Ovis aries: one gene and its partners. The protein of the gene in region 1 interacts with the protein of each later gene in a pairwise test. Links are inferred from orthologs where the notes say so. Each region holds a gene or a part of one and is shown in the gene's direction. Other genes may lie near its edges. The genes, in order: PGBD1, SCAND1, ZNF446, NR4A1, MEOX2 and ZNF496.

Region 1 (3,500 bases):
GGGGAGGATGCATTGATAGCGCTGGAGAGTCTAGAGAGAGACGCAGGAGACTCAGAACAGGTGGGAAGAGAATGTGTGTGGTGGTGTGGGAGATGTAATGGTGAACATTTGTCTGTTAATTTTTAACTCTGAAATAATTTATAACTTGTATTGGGAGAGTAGTGCAGAGAACTGTGTGTATGATTCACACACGTTAATGAAATGTTAACATCTGTTACAGGAATGTGCCGCCCTTCTTGTGTGAGCAAGTGCTCCCTCTCTCTGTATGCGTAGGTATTGTGTGTGCACGCACACACCCCCATATAGCTTATGCAGTATTTTTTCTTGAACCATTTGAGAATGGAATTAGTTGGAGATACCTTTTATCTCTAAACACTTCAGTGTGTTTCTGAAGAAGAAAGACATTCTTTTGTATAACTGGAATATAGATTATCATGTTTTGGGAAATTAAAATTTTTATGATACTATCACCTCAGTAGTAGTCCTTGTTCAGATGGATCCTTGATAGCCTAATAGTGTTCCTTATGCCAGTTTTGCCCCAATTCCCTCATCTCACATTTTTTAGTTGCTGTCTCTTCAGTCTTCTTAGATCTGGAACAGTTATTCAGTGTTTGTCATGATAATGACAGTTTTGAAGAGTACAGATGAGTTACTTTTTGGAATGCCCCTCAATTTGGGTTTGTCTTGTATTTTCTCACAATAAGACCCAGGTAGTACATTTTGGCTGGAATACCACAGAAGTGGCATTGTGGTCTCCTAGGGCATCACTTCAGGAGGCACATGGTGGTGGATCATCCTGTTACTGATGAGGTTAAGGTGGTATATGTCAGATTTCTCCACTATCAAGTTACCATTTTCCCCTTTGTAATTAGTAATCTGTGGGTGACATTTGGAGATGGTGTACATATCCTATTTCCCATTAAACTTCCACACACTATAAGCATCTATCTGGGGTTTGGTTTTGCTTTCTAGGCAGGGGTTCTTTGCCTGTATTGACTCTCTTTGCTTAGCATGTAGAACAGAATGTGGCTTTAGTAGGCATTCAGTCCATATTTGCCAGATGAGTGAATGTGTCTTGCTACTTTGTCTTACTCGCTACTTAAGGACTAAATGAAGCTTGTCTGGTGTTCCCTTGGGGAATGTCCCTAACTGCTGTTCAGTCCAGTTCCCACCAGGATGCCTTTTCAAAGTGAATCTTTTGTCCGCAGGCTTCTGTCTACACTCTAGGACAGGACTTGCACCTACTGGTGACAGAATGTCAAGGAACCTCTTCGGAGGGTCAGAGCCCCCAGCTCCTGTTGGGGGTAACCACCCTGAAGAGTGAGCCTCCAGAGTCTCCCCAAGAGACTGCCCAAGAAGTGAGTGGTGAGTGCCAGAGGGTGAACTTAGTAAAGACATTGGGAACAGGCCACTGACAGGTGTGTGGCCTTCTAAGTGAAAGCCTATTTATCTGTGTTCTCAAGTTTTGTTTCTGTCTTACCCTTTACCTAAGCAAGCTTTTAAAAACACCTGAAATTGTAAAATGTTAGAAATGTAAGATCTTTTCAACTCCCTTAATAGTTAGGAAAACCAAAACTCAGAGTATAAGTGACTTGCCCAGGGTCAGCAGAGGCAGCGCTGTCACCTGACCTTCTGACCAAGATTCTCTTTACTATATGTCTCTACTCCGCATTTCCAATTCCACACCTGGAATTTCAATATTTACTTGGTAGCTTTCCATAACTTTGTCTTTTTCCCCATGGTAATGTTTTCTTCAGTGGCCTCCTTCAAGATGCACTCCCTGTCATTCGCAAGGGCTTTTTATACCTTCGTAGGCCCTCCCAGATATTCTGGAGACTCTAGCCAAGGACCTGTGTGCCTACTAGTCATAACCCAAACACATTTCTCCAGGGTACCAGAGACCAAATGAATGGAAGAACAATTCCCCAGGCTACCTGCCTTCCCTCCCCTCCTGCTGGAGGGTAGGATTTATTTAGGGGAAAGGTGGAGGGCGGGGGGAGGGGAAGGTTAGTTGGGGCCATTTTATGGGGTGTTTAAATTCAAACCAGGAAGTTCAGACTTGAAAAATATTTGGGTACCATTGAAGCCTTTTTTTTTTTTTCCATAAAAAATATGATTTACAGTGACTGTTATTTGTGTGTATTTTGTATTTCATTCTCACCAGTCACGGAACACTAGTTTAAAATGAAAACTACTGAGTACTTGAGTTTTGCTAGCCTCTTAATGCTCAGCTGGGATTCTTAGCATCAGACAGATTGTTAAATTTTAGATATGTTGATGGAGAAGTAGAAAAGACCTTGGTATCATCTTATTCTTGGCAACTTAAGCCCACTTTGTCTTGTTCTGTCTTTGGCAGAGATAGAGAGCAGTGGGATCAGTGTGGTGTGTGTAGTGAGCATATATGTTTGAAAAGATTCTTCTACCTTCTTCCCAGGCTTAACCCTAAAGCTTTTCCACCTCAGGAGGATGATAAGGAGCAACCACAGAGTCTGGTCTGACGTTTGCTCTCAGACTTCCCAGTACTCTTGGTCTCTTTGCCCCTCTTCCATCTTCTGTTGCCACCCTGCCCCTCTTAGCTTAGCCCTTTCTCTGACAGCAGACCTGCTTCACACTGTGCTTTTTAAGCTGCTAGGGTTTTGGCATATATGCACTGTGGGGAGATTAGGTAGTAATAGTGAACCATGGGCTAGGCTATTTTATTTTCCTAGCAAGCTTTGTTCTCTCTAGTATGAAGGAACAGCACCAAAAAGATTCCACAATCATTCACTGTTGAAGCAAAGAAAAGTAGTGCTATGTTCTGGATTAGAATATCCCCTGTGCACTTCGTTTAGTAATTCTGGACTCCCTCTATTGTTACTGTCTTGGCAAACAGTGGTGCACTACTTTGCATTGGGGCCTTAAAGGGCTTTACAGAGGGCTTTTATGTTATCTCAGTCTTCATTGCCCCTGTAAAGTAGACTGTGTTCCCCCCCGTACAGATAAGGAATTGGAAAGAATCTTTCCAAGTAACAGTGCAGTGATGTACAGTCATTATCACTGTTTGGATTATGGTTTCCAATGCAGCAGATTCTCAAAAGTTCTCCTAGTTTGCAGTTAGCATCTCTTCTATGTATGACTGTGTGTCTGACTTTTTTTTACTGACGTATAGTTTATTTACAGTGTTATTAGTTTCAAGGGTACATGTATGACTCTTTTTAGAGCCATTTTAGGTTCACAGCAAAATTGAAAGGAAATTTCTCATCTCCCCCTGCCTCCCACACATACCCAGCCTCCCCCATTACCAACTCAATTTTTTTTATCCTCATTTTCTCTTTTTATCTTTCTCTTACCTGCTTTCCTGTTGCCCCTTGGCTTTGTCTCTGTTCTCCACTTCTTACCTTTCTTCTTTGTTCTCTGGTTAATGTTTCTTTATTCACCAACTTCTTCTTCCCTCTCCTTATTTTCATCTGTGATTGCTGATTTTTCTTTTATGTCTGTGAAAGTACATCACTGGAAAGCAT
Region 2 (2,724 bases), on another chromosome or scaffold:
AAAACTCCATGGACAGAGGAGCCTGGCAGGCTACAGTCCATGGGGTCGCAAAGAGCTGGACACCACTGAGTGACTAACTTTCATTTGTTCCAAAGTCTTTACTATTTAATCCTCTCAACAACTCTGGCAAATAAACCCTGCAGGGATTTCACCAAGGCAGCCTGACTCCCACATGGTAGCATGCTTTTACTGTACAACGAATATATATATGAAAACCACATATGGAATGCAAATTTTTCTGGCACCCACAATTTAAAAGTAAAACGACAGACATGAATTTTAACAATATATTTTATTTGACCCAATATGTGCAAAGTATTATAAATCCAACATGTAACCAATATAAAAAATTATTGAGATATTTTACATTACTTTCTTTTCATACTAAGGCCTGTGTGTATTTCACATGTCAGCACATCCCAATTCCGACTTGCCACATGTTAAGGGCTCGAAAACACGTGGCTAGAGTCCACTATATGAGGCTACGCATTAGTAATCCTAAAGTTAAGAGCAGAACCCACAGAGCCACCTGTTTCTTGGTTTCAGAAGACAGGCATAATAATAATAATAATAATAACAACAGAGTTCTTGGGCATTTACTCTGCGCCATAAGACGGCCAAGTTTTATTACTATGTGTAGAGGACTTTGCACACGTCATCCACCCGCAACCAGGTGAGTGTACTGTCCTTCTCTTTCGATTGAGCCAGAGAACTTTCCCGAGCTGGGCCCTCCCCCAGTGCCTGACCACAGTCCCGTTGTCCCGCCACCAGCCGGGCGCCAGCCCGCGCAAGTCCTCGGCTCGCCACCATCCTAACCAGGGCCAAACAGAGGCGGGCTTGCAGGGGCGGACACAGGTCACCTGCAAGCTGAGGCGATCAAGGCGGGCCGAGACGCTTTTGCGAGCCGCCTGCGGCTTGGGCGGCGGCTTCGGCACCTGCTCCTCCTCCGACCCCTCCTCCGGCTCCGACTCCGGCTCCGACTCCGACTCCGGCTCCGACTCCGACTCCTCCTCCGACTCCTCCTCCGACTCTTCCTCCTCCTCCTTCTCTTCGAACAGGTGCTCGGAGGCGCCACCATCCGGAGCCAGCAGTGGCGAGCTAAGATTGGTCTGCAGCCCCGCAGGCGCCGCCACCTCCAGACCCCACGTGGGAACGCGAGGGGGCGCCGCTTCTGGGAGCCCAGACCCGGCTTCCGGACTCTCGTGCGCAGAGCTCATCATAGAGAAGCCAGCGGGCACGCCCACTTCCCATAGAGAAGCCAGCGGGCACGCCCACTTCCGGCCGCCCCAGGCGCTTCGCCGGCGCTGGTAAGCTCGGCGCGCCCTCCGCCCGCCTCCCTCAGGGTCGCGCGCTCCGCCCTGTAGGGGAAAAGTCTCCTTTGCCCCGCCCCCTTGCAGACGCAGAGCTGAGCCAACAACGGCTGGACAAAGAGCGACGCGGGGAGCCGGAGTCATGGCGGCCCCCGAGCAAAGCTTGGCTCCAGCCGGAAGCCCCGCGCCATCCTCGGGGAAAGAAGGAGCCGGCCCGAGCTCAGGCACGGAGGGTGACCCTGCGGGCTCCTCCTCGACTCCTGAAGCCCCACCATCTATCCCCAACTCCTCCAATCCCAGCGCCGCGGTCCCCGAAGCGAATGTTACGCCTCCTGCGGCGGCCTCCGCCGCCCTAGACCTGCCTGTCGGACCCGCACCCCAGGGCCCTGCGCCGCTTGCCGAAGCCTCTCCGCGCTCCCCTCCAGGTCCTGGCGGCTCCCGGCCCGGCCCAGAGACTTTCCGCCAGCGATTCCGGCAGTTCCGCTACCAAGACGCTGCAGGCCCACGGGAGGCGTTCCGACAGCTTCGGGAGCTCTCGCGCCAGTGGCTGCGGCCCGACATCCGCACAAAGGAGCAGATCGTGGAGATGCTAGTGCAGGAGCAGCTTCTCGCCATCCTGCCCGAGGCGGCGCGGGCCCGGCGGCTTCGCCGCCGCACCGACGTGCGCATCACCGGCTGAGCGGCGGAGCTGCGGGCGACCCGAGTCAGGCACTCTCTGGACTGGAGCCATGATCGAGTCCGGGACCGTGAGCTTGGCTCCCCAATACGCGATAATGAAAAATGAGTTTTGGCAGTTCTTGCAATCTCATGCGTCCTTTCCCGTGTTTATTTTCCCGAACCTATTTCCACCCGTTCTGGCTAGTTGTGAAACCAAGTTGGGGGCCCATGAGAATAAAGCCTTTGTTTCTTATTCACTTGGCCTTCGTTGGCTTTTGTGGGATCATTATGTGTTGGCTATGGGTTTCCACATCTGGAAATTTTTTTCCTGCGCGTTCCCCAGCGCCCCACGTGGGTTTCCTTTGTTTGGTTGGAGCCTATGCAATGAGGACTCCAGCAGCCTGGTTTCAAATTCGCTCGTACCTTTCATTGGCTAGAATTTGAGCTTGTTTTCCTGTCTCAGCGGATAGAGAACAGTGGTACAATCTTGTATGTGGTTGTGGGTCGTGCAGGCAAATAGGTGACTGTAACTAAGTGCTGATTTAACTGGCTGCTGCTATAACAATACTGTCCTCAACTTGCTCCATCAGCCTACCTCGTGGGTGCAGGCTTCCCCAAAGGCCCAAGTTACAGGGCTGTTTTGGTAAGTGTTCACTGCAGGTCCTTACCTAGAGAGGCTAGTTCTTGTGAACTCTGGTTTAAGCCTCCAGACCCCTCTCTTAACAAATTTTAGGCCTCTTGAAAGATTTCCGGAACA
Region 3 (4,065 bases), on another chromosome or scaffold:
AATTTCTAACTTCCCCAAAGATCTGCCTTTAGAAAGTCTAAAACATCTCGTGCCTCCACGATTGGGAGGCTGTAAACAATTACATGTGGCCAGACGAAACTGTACAGGCAGGCTAGATAACCTTCAGAGGAATTCATAAGTTGAAACACTCTTGTCACGCCCAGGAATTTTTATTGACTTGGAGCTGTAAGTTAACTCCTTCTCAGAGAGGTAATGGCGGGTCAGCCCCCCGTAAAGTCAGAGGTGTATAGGTGAGAGTGTGAAACAGTAAAGTAGGCAGACTCTGGTTTGAGGGGTAGATGCTCGGGAACAGGGGGTTTCCTGAGGCTCGATCCCGCCTTGCCAAAGCCTCCTTCCTCATGACCTTTGCCATGGGCGGAGTTCCTCATGCTGGCTCCTGGCATCAAGCTTCCATTGCTGGGGGCCCAGGGTTCAATCCCTAGTTGGGGAACTAGGATCCCACATTCTGCGTGGTGTGGCCAATAAGTAAATAAAATACAAACCCGCAAGTAGGATCGTGAAAGAGGAGGCAATGGCATGCGGAAGCTAGAAGCGGGTGGAAATCGAGGCGCTAGTACCGATTTGGGGAAAAGCCAAATACTGAGTTGGCGCTGGCGGACGTGCAGGGTGATCCCACCAGGCTCACGCTGTAGAAATCCAGAAGGCTTGAAAACCAGCAGCCCTCTGGAAGGGTAGACCCAAAACAAACATGACTGAGGGAAAGCTCCCGAATAGGCTGTTAGAGCTCCAGCTCTCCCCACATGGTAGATGGTGGAAGAGCCCTTTCTTTGCAGGACTGATCTAGCTGAAGGCACGTCTGAGAGTCTGAGAATATAGATTACGGGACAGTTTCCTCATCAGCAGATGAGTGCCTGCTGTCCCCACACACCCGCAGGGCGCTCAGTAGTAGTCGAATGACGGACCCCAGTGCCATCCTCGCTGGAGAAATTCCTGGGGAAGGCGGAGAACGCCCATGGGTTAGGCTAGCCTTCCCGGCAGCCCCCTGCTTCCTCCTGGGACCCCGAGAGGCGAGTCTCTGGGAAACTTCCGGCCGCCCGGGAGGGCAGGGCCACGCTCCGGCGGTCGCCTTGGAAATAGCGGGAGGCGGGCCGCTGTGCTCCCGCGGTAACCAGGGCGACCGCCCGCGCCCAGAAGGAAGTTGCAGGGAGAGCTCCCGGGCGGAGCGCCAGCCTGATTGGCCGAGAGGTCACGCCCCGCCCTGCCTCACCTCTCGGCCAATAGGTGCCGGCCTGCTGTGCTCATGCGCAACGTCCGGAGGTCCCGTCCATCTCTGCAGTTGGTGAGTCTTCGGGAGCGGGTGCAAAGGGAGAGCGGCGGCTGGGACAGGGCGGGAGCCCCCCGAAGCCCGCGGCGCCGCAGATGCCACTCGGAGGAAAGGGGCGCCCCTCAGTCTTTCGAGGCCTCCGAGAAACAGCACCTGCTCCGAGGCCGCTCCTCTGCTCGCGTGCTGAGGCTCATGGGAAACGTAGTCCGACGGGAGGGGGCGGGGCCTCGGGGCAGACGTGTGATTGGCCAGGGCGGCGTCGCCGAGGCAACGCGCGAAAGGCAGGCTGATGGGGCAGCGGGAGGGGCGGGGCCTCAGAGCAGACGCGTGATTGGCCAGGGCCGCGTCGCCGGGGCAACGCTCGAGGGGCTGGCCCATGTTGGGGGGACCCCGCGGAAGGGGGCGGGGCCGCTCACCTCAGTGGCTCGGGATGGCGGGGTGAGCGCCGGCGGGCTAGGCGCACGAGCCCTTCCCGCCGCCGCCCGATGCGCGCGGGCCCCTCCCGCCGCCACCCGACGCGCGCGGGGCGCCCTGCCCCCGAGCCTTCATCTGGGCCCCTCCTCCGTCTGTGGCGCCGTCCCTTCCTTGCGGAGGACCCCCGTCTGTGGAAGTCTAGCTTTGGGGGTAGGGCCCGGTCCAGCCTGTCGGAGAGGCCCCCCCCCCCATGTGGACGCGTCTCCCTGCGGACCCTCAGGGCCGGGACGCGGTGGCCCGCGGAGCGCCCCATACAGCCCTAGGCTGTGGTTTACTTGGCTTCCGCCTTTCACAAGTACGGTCCACACGGTGTGAGTCACGCACAGCTGTCCGGTGTCAGCGATCACGGTGTCTCAGGGTCCACGTCGGCCCCTGCTTCGGCCGTGGCGCAGGTCAGCTTCTCGGGGTGCTTCTGTTGAATCAACGTGACCCGGAGATGGAGGAGACGGGTAGCCTGTTCTCACCCTGGCTCCCCCACTCTCGGCTTCTCGGCCTGAGCCTGGAAGCCTGGGGTAGTTCCCCTGGCCTTGCGCTCAGCATCATCTAGCTGTTCCCTGGAAGCTCCATCCGACTCCAAGTGGTTCCCAAGGCTTCCTTCTGCTCTTAGTTCCAGCTCTTGTGACCTTTCCTTCCACGAAACTTTCCTCAGTTCAGCGTCGAGCATCCCCACACTAGGGTCCTCTCTGTCCAGACATCAGCAGCACCACCACCACCCCTGGGCTGGGGCTGTCTGCACGCAGCTGCCTCACCTTGGCTGTGGCCTTGTGGCTGGCACTCTGACCCCTCTTTCCTGCAGGTGGCTCCAAGAAGATTCCCCTCACAATGCCATCCTCACTGGGTCCCCCGAGTCTGCCTTCTCTGGACCCCGAGGCCACCCCAGAGGATCCTGAGATGGCACGCCAGCGCTTCCGGGGCTTCTGCTACCAGGAGGTGGCCGGTCCCCGGGTGGCCCTGGCCCGGCTGCAGTTTCTGTGCCGCCAGTGGCTCCAGCCCGAGGCGCACTCCAAGGAGGAGATACTGGACCTGCTGGTGCTAGAGCAGTTCCTGGGGGCGCTGCCCCCTGAGATTCAGGCCTGGGTGCGGGGCCAGCAGCCAGGCAGCCCTGAGGAGGCCGTTGTCCTGGTCGAAGACCTACAGCGTGACCCTGGGCAGCTGCTGGGCTGGGTGAGTGTGGTGGTGGTGGCTTCTCTGAGGGACAGAGTGAACCTAGCACCCCAATGACCCTCCCTCCCCCCGCAGATTACAGCGCACGTCCTGAAGCAAGCTGTGCTCCCAGCCACACAGAAGACAGAGGAGTCGCTGGGGGGTGTCCACCCCTCAGGGACAGTGGAGTCCCTCAGGGAAGCCTCTGGGGAGGCGCCAAAGGGTGCCCAGATGGAGGGCAGTGCCCACCTCAGATGCAGCGTGAAGGAGGAGCCTGATGGCTACGTGCAGGAGACAGGTGAGGTGCGGGTGCACAAGGGCTGGGGCCCCTTGAGAGTGTGAGGGGGGAGTCCAGGAGAGGTTGTGTGGAGACTGGGGGCTCCTGGAGTGGGTCTGGCATCCCCAGGTGGGAGGCGGGCCCCACAAGGACTGGGTCCCTCGGAGGCTGGAGGGAAGGGCTGGCTGGCTGCCTGCCGTGTGCCTGGCACACAAAGAGCATGCCTTCCTGCTGCCAGAGGAGGGCCCAGGCTACAGCACCAACGCCAGCTCCTTGCCTGCCCTGGCTCGCAGGGACAGCCCCTGACCCCTGCCTGCCTGGCTTCCTAGCATCCTCCAGCCCCCCACCTCCAGCCCAGTCCCACAAGGAGCACGTCGAACAACAGGAACCGACCTCCGCACCCTTCCAGCCACCCCGGCTTCAGGTGAGCAGCCCCCGGTTGGCGAGTGCAGCCCCGCTGCAGGAAGAGGGTGTCCTCAGGGGCTGCTCTCTGTCCTGCCGGCTGTCCAGGCTCCTTGGCGAGTGCTTCTTGTCCTCTCTGCTGCCGCGAAGTGGAGTTGGTATCAGGGTACCCCTGGCAGGGCGTGGGGGACAGAACAGTGCTTGGAAAGAATTCTGGTCTCAGGGAACTGGGAACCTGGTTTAGAGTGATGGGAACTGGCAGAGGTGGGCTTCGCACTTAGACGTGAGACGGAGGTTGGCAGGAGTCCTGTGCCGGCACCCGGGGTGAACCCTCATGGGCATGTGCAGAGCGGACAGGGTCCCCAGTGTGGCAGGAAAGCCTGAGTGACACCCAGCAGTCTGGCCTCCCTGCACACCCGAGGTCAGAATAGAGACACTCTTACCAGGAAATGGCCCGGGAACTTCATCCAAGGCCAGTCAGCCC
Region 4 (3,992 bases), on another chromosome or scaffold:
CAGGGAAGATCTTTTCTCTCCCCCACCCAACTCCTCATTCTGGAACCCCATCTTCCTTCACAGCACAGTGAAAAATCTGCAGACCTCTCTGGGGATCGGAGCTCTGTTGTCAGCCATGAAGTGCAGAACAAATCACTTCACCTCCCTGACCTTTCAGATTCTAAACCAGGAGGGCACAATCAGCGGTTCACTGCAGAGACCTTAGGCCACACCAACCTGGATACAAACCATGTTCTGTGATTTCTCAGCTGTGTGCCGTTAGGCACGTTATTTAGCTTCTTGGAGCCTCAGTTCCCTCAATACTAAACAGGACCCAACTAAGAGTGCTGTTGAACGGCAGGAAGAGACAAAACAAGGAAAGTGTCTGGCACGTGGCCCTCCACAATGCTCTTGCTCACCTCCGAGCTTTACCACGTACTGTTTCCTCTCCGTGGAACACTTGGCCCTTCCCCTGCCTCCTCACCTCATAAATACTCCTCAGCTGAAAACTTTACTTCCTGAGGAAGGAAAAAAATTACTTTCCTTATCCACCATTCCACTTCTAAATTGCAGCTCTTCATTAAATGTGTCATTGACATCCTGCAACTCGTTTTCTCTTTAGGGCGCTTATTACTTATTGGCAAGATGTTTTAATGGCAGCCTGGGTTGTAAGAAGGCGCAGAGACAGGGACTGTGTCTGTTTTGTTCTTTGCTTTGTGTCCCCAGCGGGAGAGTCGTCCCCGATATTCACCACAGTACGGTTCAGTTTTCTCTGTATCTCTGTATTTATTTCTTCCCTCTTTCCAACTTGACCTAACTAACGTTTGCATCATTGCTTAGGTTCACTGACCTCCGAGAAGCAAGGACTAACTGGAAAGATAGCTCAAGAATTATAGGCGTTTATCCTTAATTACCCTCTAGTCCCCACAGGAATGGCCGGACCATATTTGAGATGGAAAGTCCCCAACCAGTTCCGCTACGGATTTCGGATTTCGGGGCCACTCTTTTTTCTCAGCCTGGAGGCACCCGCCCCCTACGCCCGCCGCCCTGCGCCATCCTGGCAAAGAAGTCTATTTGCATACATCAGACCCAAAGGCAGTGAACGCCCAATGGCTGATTTGCATGCGCTCGTGCTATTGGTTGGAAGGGCGGCACGGTAGCCAATGGTTTGCAGCGGTGTTTACCCAGCGGCGGGTCCGCGCTGCGGGGTGATGTAATGGAATCCTGGCTGGACCCGGCGCGGACTCCCTCCGGTCCGCTTGGTGACGTAGCGGCTTCCCCGGGCCCCACCCGACCCAACCCGGCCTGGCGCGGGGCATTACGGCCGCCCCCGGGAACACGGCGTGGGGCACAGCCGAGGCCGCAACGCTGCAGCGGAGCCCGGCCCTATTCCTTCGGGCCTGGCGTTCCGGTCCCGGCCCGGCGTTCCGGTCCCGGCCCCTCTGGGAGGGCCTGCTGGGCCAGATCTGATCTCTGGCAACGTGGAGAGAAATCTGGAAGCAGGCAGCAGAGGATTACCAAACTCGACTCCTCTGGGAATAGATTACCGGTCTCTCACTTCGTAAATCATCACGCAGTTTTGTAACGTTTTGCATTTGTTTACAACGAGCTTGTTTGATTTTGTAATTTAAAAAATAAGTTACAGAGGATTTGTTTGTTTTTAATAATAAAGAGCCTGGCTTGGATTTAGGGGAAATCTTGGTATTAATTCCAGCTCTGTCACTTCCAGCCTGGTGACTTTGGCCACTGTTTCCTGTTGGCCCTGACGGCCTTCCATGGCAACTAGGGAAGAGCAAATGTGGAGACACTTTTAAAAGCACCCAGCAGGGCACCTCCTCCTCCTTATGTCGTTCAGAGCATGTACTCCCATCTAGGTCACCCGTGGAAAGCCATGATCCCTGGGACAGCCCCTGAAAGGCCTGGTCTTTGTGTCCCCATTTTTTGCCCTTTAATTGCTCCTAAACGTGGGGAAGGGGTGGGGGGACCCCGGCCTGGTATTTCTCCATCCTCAGAGTGAGGAAGGGAACCACGAAGGGAATCCCCTCCACAGCCCCTCTCCTCATTGAGGGCTGGGACCTGGACAGGGGAGCCCCTTCAGGGCCCAAATGGTCTGGGGCACCCCCTGGACATCCTTTTACCCCCACCCCCAGTGGGTCAGGGTGGAGGTAAGGTGGAATGGTGTCTGTCTGACTGGGCAGAGTTGGGTTACTGGGTTCTGCTACTTTTGAGATGGAAGGGCATATGGGGAACACCACTAAGGGTTTGACTGTCCTGAGTCCTGGGGCTTTATGCCCCCAAGATCTCTACCCTGTCCCCACCCCATACCTGTGAACTTTGTGATCAATCTTTGTCCTCTATGGAATACTCTTCCTTCTCTCTGCCTTACCTGGTCCTGTCTGTCCCTTCACGCTGTGCCCATATTCTCTTCTGGCAGGGAGCTGTCTTGTGTCCTGCCTCCCCAGCTTTCTGTGGCAAGAGCTTGTCCTTCTCCCTTAGGAATTTCCCATTATGTGGGACAGCACTGGATGGGGTCTGTTTTCCCCTCTAGTCCTATCTCCTGAGCTGTGCAAAGAATTGCCCTTCTCTCCCCTCAGTTTTCCCCTGCAGTTTTCCCGTCTGCAGTGTGTGGTCTGTGGTAGTTCCTGAAACTTGTGTAGAAAGAGGAGAGCCTAACTTACGAAGAAAAGGAGCAAGATGGTGCATACAAATTTGAGTACTGGTCTGGGAGATGGAAGATGGGGGCTGTCGCCCTGGCTTGGCCACTGGCTAACTGGGTCAAGGAGACAAGAGGATTGAAATTTGCTGGACATCTGTCGTGACATCATGAGGTGACATCACCCTCATCTGTGCAGCTCAAGCCTCCAGATAAACATACTATCTGGAAAAGCCAGGGTGAGTACTTTGGATGTGCAGCTTGAAGATGAAGTCCCCAGCCCTGCCTTAACCCAAGTTCTTTTGTGTGGAAATGGCAGGTTTTCTACTGAGTCCCAGACTTGTTGCTGCATTTTTCTATCCGTACTATTAAAGATGCACTCTTCATGACAACTCTGTGAGATCGGTATGTTGTCATCCTTGTGTTTCCAATGAAGAAACGGAAGGCCAGAGAAGGTAAGTAATTGCCCTGAAGTCACATAGTTGGTAATAGTGGGGACCAGGGTCAGTCCCAGGCCTCTCGAACCTATGTTCCTTCAGCCACCTCAGTCAGCCACCACAAGTGACATGGGCATGTGTGTTTTAGCATTACATATTTTAATATATTTTTATTTCATTATAAAACAGGAGAGTATGTAATAAAGCCAAGTTGTGCTAAAGTATTTATAGAAGGGAGAGACCTCTGTGGGCTGGAATTCTTCATGGAAAAAGTGGTAACTCAGACTTTTAAAAAATTTTATTCTTCCTGTCCAAATAAATGTATTTCTCCTACACAGGCAAATATTTTTAAAATGTATTTCAAAAGTTAGAATTCTGGAAAAAGAAAAAGAGGAGGTGGGGGGTAGTGGCTTCTTTAAAAAGCCCATTTGGAAGGAACTCCTGGGGTAGGAAGGAGAGGAGAGGGGAAGGGGGAAGGAAAAAAATAGACTGATAGCCTCCCCCCCCCACACCTTGCATTTTTGAAGAATTGGTTTCTTTATCTCCATCTTGGCCTAGTATTTGAATCTGGGAAAGAAACATAAAGTTTCTGAGAAAGTGATTTTGCGACAAACCAGAGATCCTTGGGATCATTTTCAAAAGGAGGAAAAGAGACTTGTGAGTGCAGCAGGAGTTTAGGACAGGTCCAGGAAAGGATTTCTGGGGGTGGGCAGGAGGTGGGGAGAGGAATGTGGCCCCGGAATGAGGGCTGGGGGGTGGGGGAGCACGCGTGGGGCCTCTTCTGGAGAGTTTTGAATGCAGAAGAGATTCTTTGCTGCGTGGGGCTGGCCTGAATGCTGGGTTGACTAGCATGCTGATAATTTAAGTGGGCTCCAAACATGAGTACGGGCTGGTGGCTGTGACCACAGAGCCCAGGTCTGGTT
Region 5 (4,147 bases), on another chromosome or scaffold:
GAGACAATGAAAGTAAGACGGCGACGCTCCTGGTGGCAAATTTGGGGTCCCGGGAGGGATAGGTGAGCGCCGATATTCTCCTGATGCGACAAGTCCTAGGCAAGGCTCAACTGTTCCCGCAGCTCATTATGCTCGGCCAGCGTGCGTGCCTTGTGTAAACGACTTGGCCCCTAGCAGACAGTGTCGCCCTTTAAGCATGTGGTAGTATGAAAGCCCAGCCGTCGCTCGCATTAATTCACTGGTGGCAAGTTTTCTAAGTCATTTTCTAGGATGCAAAATTGTAACCAGGGAGATCCGAACTTTAAGCGATACCAAAGTGTAATATTTGTTTGGTAAATGGAACCATGGCGGCGTGGGAGTGAAAGGGGTGCAATGAGCTGATTGATTTTTTTGAGCGGAAGAGAGATGGATTTCTGGAGGGAAACGAGGTGACAGGGGGCTGGCTCCTGAGGGAGAGTACTGGAAATGTACATTCAATATACACATCGCTTGTGACTAGGGTGAAATCGCTTTAGAATACTCCTGATCCAGGAAAAGTTTTTCTGGGCGGACAAGTGGCAAGGAAATGGAAGTGGGACCCGGAAATCGAGAGCGGTGTGGGGGAGGACATTTGAGGAAAGCAGGGGAAGAGACCCCACCTGGGACCGCAGGTGAGGATGCCAGAAGCAGAGCGTCTGCGACCGTCACGGCCCCATGCTTTCTTCCACCCTATCAAGTCTCGTTCCTTGCGGCCCTTTCTCGCCCGTGGGGAACTTTTCCTGCATCCTCGAATCTGGCGTCTCAGCGCTCTAACAACCCACCCACAGACACCAGCTGTATAAAAAAGCTAGAAACGCCACTGAGCCCATGACACGAGTTGATGCGAATTTGGAAAACCTTAATCTGAGTGCGCGCCAAACTAGCTCTGATTCTTTTCCTTATCCTCCACCTTTCGTGCTTCTCCACATTTAGGCACACCCTGTTTTTCTGCAGGTGACAGTGCCCAAGTGGCATTGACAAGACACCTTTCAGGAGAGAAGTGAGCAGGTGGGACACTGGCTGTGGGGTTGGAGCTGGCGGGCGCCACGGCGCGCCCCGGCCGGCGGAGCGGGAAGGGCAGCCGCTGCCCGCCGGGGCTCTGGTTTAGGCGCCCGGCTTGCCGCTTGCAGTCCAGGCTGTTGGCAGCGGCGGGAGGGCGTGGACGCGCTGCATGCGTCCAGCCGGCGATAGGAAGTGGAACTGGGAGCGCATTGCGCGAACTGAGCGGGAGTTTTGGAGGGAGTTTGCATGTGGTCAGCACTGGGCTCCTAAGCCAGCCCCCAGCTCACATTACACTCTATTTATAACCTCTCAGAGCCGTTTCCCCCTGAAAGCAGTTCTCTGGGACCACCTTCTTTTGGCTTCAACCTCTCCTGCTCTTGACATCTGAGTAGCTCAGAGGGAAGCTTCTCGAGGTCCGAGTGTTTATATGTAAAGGAGACTGGCCGCTAGGGCTCAGGACCAGGATTATCCGAGCTCTGACGAAACGCGGGCGGCTATTGCTTTGGGAGGGGGAAAAGTCACACGGTTTCCAGTGAAAAGTGACAGAGGGTGGTGGCGTTTGGAACCGTCGTGAAGTCTTCTGCCTGGAACCCGAGACTTGCATGCTATGGAACACCCGCTCTTTGGCTGCCTGCGCAGCCCTCACGCCACCGCGCAAGGCTTGCACCCGTTCTCCCAATCCTCTCTCGCCCTCCATGGAAGATCTGACCACATGTCCTACCCCGAGCTCTCCACTTCTTCCTCGTCTTGCATAATCGCGGGATACCCCAACGAGGAGGGCATGTTTGCCAGCCAGCATCACAGGGGGCACCACCACCACCACCACCATCACCACCACCACCACCAGCAGCAGCAGCACCAAGCTCTGCAAACCAACTGGCACCTCCCGCAGATGTCCTCCCCGCCGAGCGCGGCTCGGCACAGCCTCTGCCTCCAGCCGGACTCGGGAGGGCCCCCGGAGCTGGGGAGCAGCCCGCCGGTCCTGTGTTCCAACTCTTCCAGCTTGGGCTCCAGCACCCCGACCGGGGCCGCGTGCCCGCCAGGGGACTACGGCCGCCAGGCGCTGTCACCCGCGGAGGCGGAGAAGAGAAGTGGCAGCAAGAGGAAAAGCGATAGCTCAGGTAAGGGCGCGCCGGGCACCCTCGGCGAAAGGGGGCGGGGAGATGGGAAGATTCTCCTACTAGAGTGAGGCGGCGGGCGTTATGGGACAGGTCTTTTCCTCTCTGGCTCCTCGCCGCCAAATTCGGCGAGGCTGCTTTGGTCCTTTTATTTGGGGGCACGTGTTTCTCCGAGGGCAGCACTGCAGCCAAGTGCGTTAAGCTCTCCAAGATTCAAACTAGTTTACCAGAGGGTTGAGAAAAAAAGGACAAGTGACAAGTATGTGAAATCGATTGCGAAGCGTGACCTTCCATCTGAGCGATGGGGAGAGGAATGCACCCTGGGATGCAGCGTCCGCTGGGCGTGCGTGCGGGTGCCTTTCCTTGACTTTTCCCGACTCTGAATGGCTCGATTTTTCCCATCGTTAACTGGATTTCCAAATTATTGCACAACATTTGGAACTTGCAGTGGAACTTGGCAGAGCACATGAGAAAAAGTTTTAGTTTAGTTTTTTTTTTTTTAATTCTGATTTCAGAGTTCTTTAAATAGCACCCTATTCCAAATGGTAAAATTTCTCTTTCTTGGGGGAAGAAGATATTGTCTAGGAATTCAGAGGATTTTAAGGAATGTGTCAGAGAATGGCAACTAAATATACGCTCAGACCCTTGACGAAAGACGATTCTTTATTGTAGTTGTATTCATGTAATGCTAACCAAAAAGAAAATCTGAGTTTCAAAAGTGGAAAGTAAAATCCTCCTCCAGTTGAGTACTATCCGAAACAAGGATTGGGAAACTTAACAGCAACCAGGGTAGCGCTGCTACAAGTGGGTGTGCGTAGGAGGCGCTGATCTACGCGAGGATATCTTGAACCGCGTAGCGAAAGGGGAATCTTAACCAAACGCGAATGCTTGAAGGCACCCGCAGCCAACTAAACTTTAGCAATCCAGAGAAACTAAAGCTTTGCAGTCAACTGTCAAAGCCCTTACCTGTCTCTGTCCTAAAGAAATTGTTAAAAGATGCTTTATAAGGAGGGTATGAGCTTTCTTCAGTAGCTACGACGCAACCTGCGTCCCATCTTTTTGCAAGCTGTTGTTTATTTAATATAATATTTACGTATTTTCTTTCTTTGCGGCATTGGTTTTAAGAGCCCTGGAAGATAATTCCAGGTACTGATTTGAAAGACTGGATAATGTCTATCCTTTATAATAATTTAGATTAGATTTCACATGAATGACAGTGATTGAGCCGCATATTTCATGTTCTTTTTCAGCAGTGGTATCAATTATTCTTCAGTGAGTACGGAATGGGTTCTTCTATCTCAAACTTAGAATCTCACGTTTACATTCCAACGTCAGGGTGAACTTCTAATGCTCCATCACAAAATAGTTGATATCCAAAAAGGTTGCCAGCAGTATCATTCATTTTTAATGGTTTTTACTAACCCTAAGTGAGACACTCTTCAGACAGAGTGAAAAAGTTAATATAGCAAGAAGGCTTCCATCTTCATTAGAAAACAAGTCATTTTTAGAATGCAGTCATCCTTTTATAGGATCAGCATTTGATATCAATGTAACTTTTCTGGGATTAGATCTGAGTACAGGTTAGCCAGGGACGCTTTTGCAATTTACCAGAGGCTCTTACTATTCCTTGTACTTTCTGCAGTGAGAAACCTATATCATGGATTGTTTCATATGCTTCTTCAACTGAACAAACGCACCTAAGTTTCTTAGGACAAGCTGAATTTTCATATAGGCCTATGTTACTTTGATCAAGGAGAAATCAAGAAAGTGAGATCCAAGAACTGACTCCCTTCAGTTATTTTAATAGTGACTTTCTTAAGAAAATTGGTTATATTAATACTGCTACCGTCCTTTGGTGGGAAATAACCATATAACAAAATAAGTTTATCTTTTCATGTTGAAGTTAGTCATTAAAGTCCTGGAAAAACAAAAGTTTTCATCAGATACATAAAATATTAATAGATTACATCTTGAATGGGAAATACAGTTAATCATCACCAAGGGTAGAA
Region 6 (3,500 bases), on another chromosome or scaffold:
TTAGAAGTTTGATAGAGATAGTAGTGTTAGTTGTTCAGTCTTGTCCAACTCTTTGACCCCATGGACTGTCTGAAATGAAAGCCTTCCTTTATTTCATCCTCTTTCCTTTTTATTCTAAGATGGATATTCTCAGAAACACTGTTGGCTGCCCATGAAATTTACAAGGGTCCAGGCCATCAGACAAGATGGTCCTCTACAGACTGTTTCTGGATTATCTCATCTCCACTCTTGGCTTCTTAGATGGTCAATAGGATCTGTGGTTGTCCTGCCACACGCTTGGTATTCTCTCCAGAACATACTTTCTCATTTTTTGCAGGATAGATAGACTGAAAATTTTCTAAATCTTCAAGTCCCTTCCCACTCCCCCATTTCACATTGTACCCAGTCCCCTCACACTTGTGCTCTGATGTATGGGTAAATACCCGCATAGACTCTTCCACTGCCCAGTGTCTCTCCTGCTTGCTATGGTATTGGGTCTTCCTGCTATGTTCTGTCCAGTTTCACCTGCTCTCACTTCCCTAAGCTGCCACAACTCTCCTCCTTCTAGCAGTTAAGTCCAGAATAACCATATTCCTATTATTGTCTCAAAGGACCTGGCACCACTATTCCCCAGCCCTGTTTTAGACCTGAGCCCCTCATTTCAAAAAAATGAGGAAACAACTGTAAGGAGAGCCGTGTAGTGGTCTCTGGGCTGCAGGCAAGGACCTTATATCAGGGTCCCCACTGCCCACCCAACTCCTCCCCACAGTACATCTTTCCAACATCACAGACTCAAGATCCATTGAGCCAGCTTCAGTTACTTTATAAAGTCCAGTGCATCTTTATGCATTACCATTAGTGGCTGTTGGTTGGCCTCTGATATGATACTGAGAGGAAGAGATGACCTTGAGTAATCTGGAGCCTTTGAACAGCCCTACCATCACAGCAGGGCTCAATATCACTAGGCCTGAGCCGTTAAGCACGTGACCTAAGTTTGCCTATGTTTATAATGGCAAGTAGTACATTATTGGCTTGTGTCCAGGATCAGATGGCCTTGTGCATGTCAGAAGTCTTGTACAGCCCCTAGGGAATTTAAGTGCCTAGTATATGGTAGCTGGCAGCCTCCTGTCACTGTTTATAGAATATAGGACCCTTCTCTGTCTCAAGGCTCTTAATGCACCCTGACAATTTTTCCCTTGTCTCATTAAGAGAGGCAGAGTTAAATGATGTGTAAATGGTCAAGGTTTACACAGATAGATACAAAGTCTTAGAGCTTGGAGGGATCTCAGTGGCTAGAAAAGAAATGAATAAAAGGACTGGGTCTGGGGATTTAGGAGGAAAAGGTAGGGAAGTGAGAGAAGAAAGAGGTATGCAGAATGGTTAGCAGTGTGGCCTGTGCCAAGGGATTCCTTCTCACAAGACATACCACAGAGATACCTGCAGGGGAAGATTCCTTACAGAAATGTGGGTTTCTGGACCTTCTTGGGTAGGGTTTGCAGGGGCTCAGATGTGGCCTGGGCAGCATCACTGACCACCTTGTTGCTTTCTGGTAGTGGGAGGTGATGCACCATTCCCCGAGAATAGCCTGGATGAGGAGGTGACGATCGAGATTGTGCTCTCCAGCTCCGGAGATGAGGACTCCCAGCTCGGCCCCTACTGCACAGACGAGCCACGGAGCCCCACAGAGAAGCAGCACAGCCTCCCCATCTCCCACCGGAGTGGCATTGAGGCAGCGGGTGAGGTGCAGACCTCTAAAAAGTCCTACGTGTGCCCTAACTGTGGCAAAATCTTCCGCTGGAGGGTCAACTTCATCCGACACCTGCGGAGCCGCAGGGAGCAGGAGAAGCCACACGAGTGCTCGGTGTGCGGGGAGCTGTTCAGTGACAGCGAGGACCTAGACGGGCACCTGGAGACCCACGAGGTTCAGAAACCTTTTAGGTGCGGTGCTTGTGGGAAGAGCTTCCGCCTCAACTCCCACCTGCTCTCACACAGGCGGATACACTTGCAGCCAGACGGACTCGAGTTAGTGAAGAAGAAAGAACAGGAGGCGTCAGGGACCATGGGTGGGGATTCTGACGACCCACTGACAAAGGGCAAGGCCAAGCTGCGCTACCAGTGCTGTGACTGCGGGAAGGTGTTCCAGCGGCCTGAGCACCTGGCCCGGCACCGCAGTAACATTCACATGGACAAGTCCCGGCCCTTTCAGTGCAGGTACTGCGTCAAAAGCTTTTCCCAGAACTCTGACCTCCTCCGCCACCAGCGCCTGCACATGAAACGCCGGTCCAAGCAGGCTCTGAACTCCTACTGAGTCGGGGGCTTAACACACATTTTTGCGTGCAGCTCCAGCGTGGGTAGAGTGTATCCCACTTGTGCTTGGTACTGACCGGTTTCAGACTCCTCCCCAGGACAGAGACCACGTCCTCCTGACCTTTAACTCTCAGGTAGAAACGAGATAGTGGCCAGTTAAGTATTTGCTCTGTCTCTGCTGTGCCGAAAGCTAAGAGAGTGTGTCAGCACCAGCTTTGACTTGCCCGGTGTTTCGGGTCTAAGAGAACCCTGTTCAGTGCTTCCCACATGGTAGAGGGACTGGGGTACCCCCTACCACAGGAAACCTTTGAGGGGTCTGTCCCTTGCCAGCTTGCAGTGCACTCCCTTCCAGCCCCGTCTGAATTCCTACCCTATCCTGCGGTCTGGAGGTAATTTCTGCCTACCTGACAGCAGGAAGCTGCCGGTGGGGTGATGGGTTAGGAGGAAGATAATAAGGTGGGGCTGGACCTGTGGGCACAAGGGCAGCAGGGCCAAGCACACCAAGCCATGTCACGTCATCAGAAGTCTGTGTCCCAGGCACCATCTGGTCCATAAGAACACCTCAGAATGATCAGATGGCCCTTCCAGGCTCAGAAGCCTTTGTGGGGGACTTTATAGCTTGCCAAAGGGAAATCTTTCTTTCATGGTGGTGACTGGTTATTGGGAATTGTGAGCTCATTCAAGGCAAAGCCCACGTTAAAAGCCACATTTTAATTTGTTTGTTGGCACACACTACAAAGAAAGTGTCCTTTCTTTGTACCCTGAAGGTCCTTGGTATACTTGGTTGTGGGATAGAAGTGACAGCATCATCATTTGAAAGGCGCTTAACTTTCCCTTCCCCATTGTGTCATGTCTAGGAAAGGAGAGCTCACTCAGGTCCCGTAAAGGAGAGCTCAGGTCCCATGAATGAGAAGTTATTTTGTCTGGATGAGCTGAGCAGTAGAAACAGAACTTTTGGTGAAGTCATTCTATATATATATTAACTTCGTGTGCCAGTTGTATTAATTCCTTAAGGCTGCTGTATCAAAGTACCAAAAGCTGAGTGGCTCAGAACAACAGAAATTCATCGTCTCAATTCTGGAGGCCTGGAGTCCAAGATCAAGGTGTCAGAAAGGTTGGATTCTTGTAAAGGAAGGATCTGTTCCTTGCCTCTCCTTTAGCTTCAGTGATTGCTAACAGTTGTTGATGCTCTTTGTCTTGTCGAAGCATCACCC

Evidence for each region.
Region 2: the proteins of PGBD1 (region 1) and SCAND1 interact in binary tests that used the Homo sapiens proteins (3 or more experiments, as listed by UniProt). The two-hybrid records come from large-scale screens. The link is inferred for Ovis aries from reciprocal best matches to the Homo sapiens genes PGBD1 and SCAND1.
Region 3: the proteins of PGBD1 (region 1) and ZNF446 interact in binary tests that used the Homo sapiens proteins (3 or more experiments, as listed by UniProt). The two-hybrid records come from large-scale screens. The link is inferred for Ovis aries from reciprocal best matches to the Homo sapiens genes PGBD1 and ZNF446.
Region 4: the proteins of PGBD1 (region 1) and NR4A1 interact in binary tests that used the Homo sapiens proteins (3 or more experiments, as listed by UniProt). The two-hybrid records come from large-scale screens. The link is inferred for Ovis aries from reciprocal best matches to the Homo sapiens genes PGBD1 and NR4A1.
Region 5: the proteins of PGBD1 (region 1) and MEOX2 interact in binary tests that used the Homo sapiens proteins (3 or more experiments, as listed by UniProt). The two-hybrid records come from large-scale screens. The link is inferred for Ovis aries from reciprocal best matches to the Homo sapiens genes PGBD1 and MEOX2.
Region 6: the proteins of PGBD1 (region 1) and ZNF496 interact in binary tests that used the Homo sapiens proteins (3 or more experiments, as listed by UniProt). The two-hybrid records come from large-scale screens. The link is inferred for Ovis aries from reciprocal best matches to the Homo sapiens genes PGBD1 and ZNF496.

What each region holds. Positions count from the first base shown.
Region 1 is NC_056073.1:29,458,612-29,462,111, reverse strand, and holds part of PGBD1 (piggyBac transposable element-derived protein 1), read left to right. Parts: coding exon 1-60; intron 61-1,208; coding exon 1,209-1,365; intron 1,366-3,329; exon of another isoform or gene 3,330-3,500.
Region 2 is NC_056066.1:65,082,716-65,085,439, reverse strand, and holds SCAND1 (SCAN domain-containing protein 1), read left to right. Parts: upstream 1-1,395; 5' UTR 1,396-1,452; coding exon 1,453-1,989; 3' UTR 1,990-2,224; downstream 2,225-2,724. UniProt on the Homo sapiens protein: May regulate transcriptional activity.
Region 3 is NC_056067.1:66,373,091-66,377,155, forward strand, and holds the start of ZNF446 (zinc finger protein 446), read left to right. Parts: upstream 1-1,265; 5' UTR 1,266-1,949; coding exon 1,950-2,151; intron 2,152-2,555; coding exon 2,556-2,923; intron 2,924-2,998; coding exon 2,999-3,200; intron 3,201-3,472; coding exon 3,473-3,603; intron 3,604-4,065. UniProt on the Homo sapiens protein: May be involved in transcriptional regulation.
Region 4 is NC_056056.1:134,308,634-134,312,625, reverse strand, and holds the start of NR4A1 (nuclear receptor subfamily 4immunitygroup A member 1), read left to right. Parts: upstream 1-1,192; 5' UTR 1,193-3,087; intron 3,088-3,992. UniProt on the Homo sapiens protein: Orphan nuclear receptor. Binds the NGFI-B response element (NBRE) 5'-AAAGGTCA-3'. Binds 9-cis-retinoic acid outside of its ligand-binding (NR LBD) domain.
Region 5 is NC_056057.1:25,059,012-25,063,158, reverse strand, and holds the start of MEOX2 (homeobox protein MOX-2), read left to right. Parts: upstream 1-1,347; 5' UTR 1,348-1,627; coding exon 1,628-2,141; intron 2,142-4,147. UniProt on the Homo sapiens protein: Mesodermal transcription factor that plays a key role in somitogenesis and somitogenesis and limb muscle differentiation. Required during limb development for normal appendicular muscle formation and for the normal regulation of myogenic genes.
Region 6 is NC_056058.1:38,324,988-38,328,487, reverse strand, and holds part of ZNF496 (zinc finger protein 496), read left to right. Parts: intron 1-1,532; coding exon 1,533-2,287; 3' UTR 2,288-3,500. UniProt on the Homo sapiens protein: DNA-binding transcription factor that can both act as an activator and a repressor.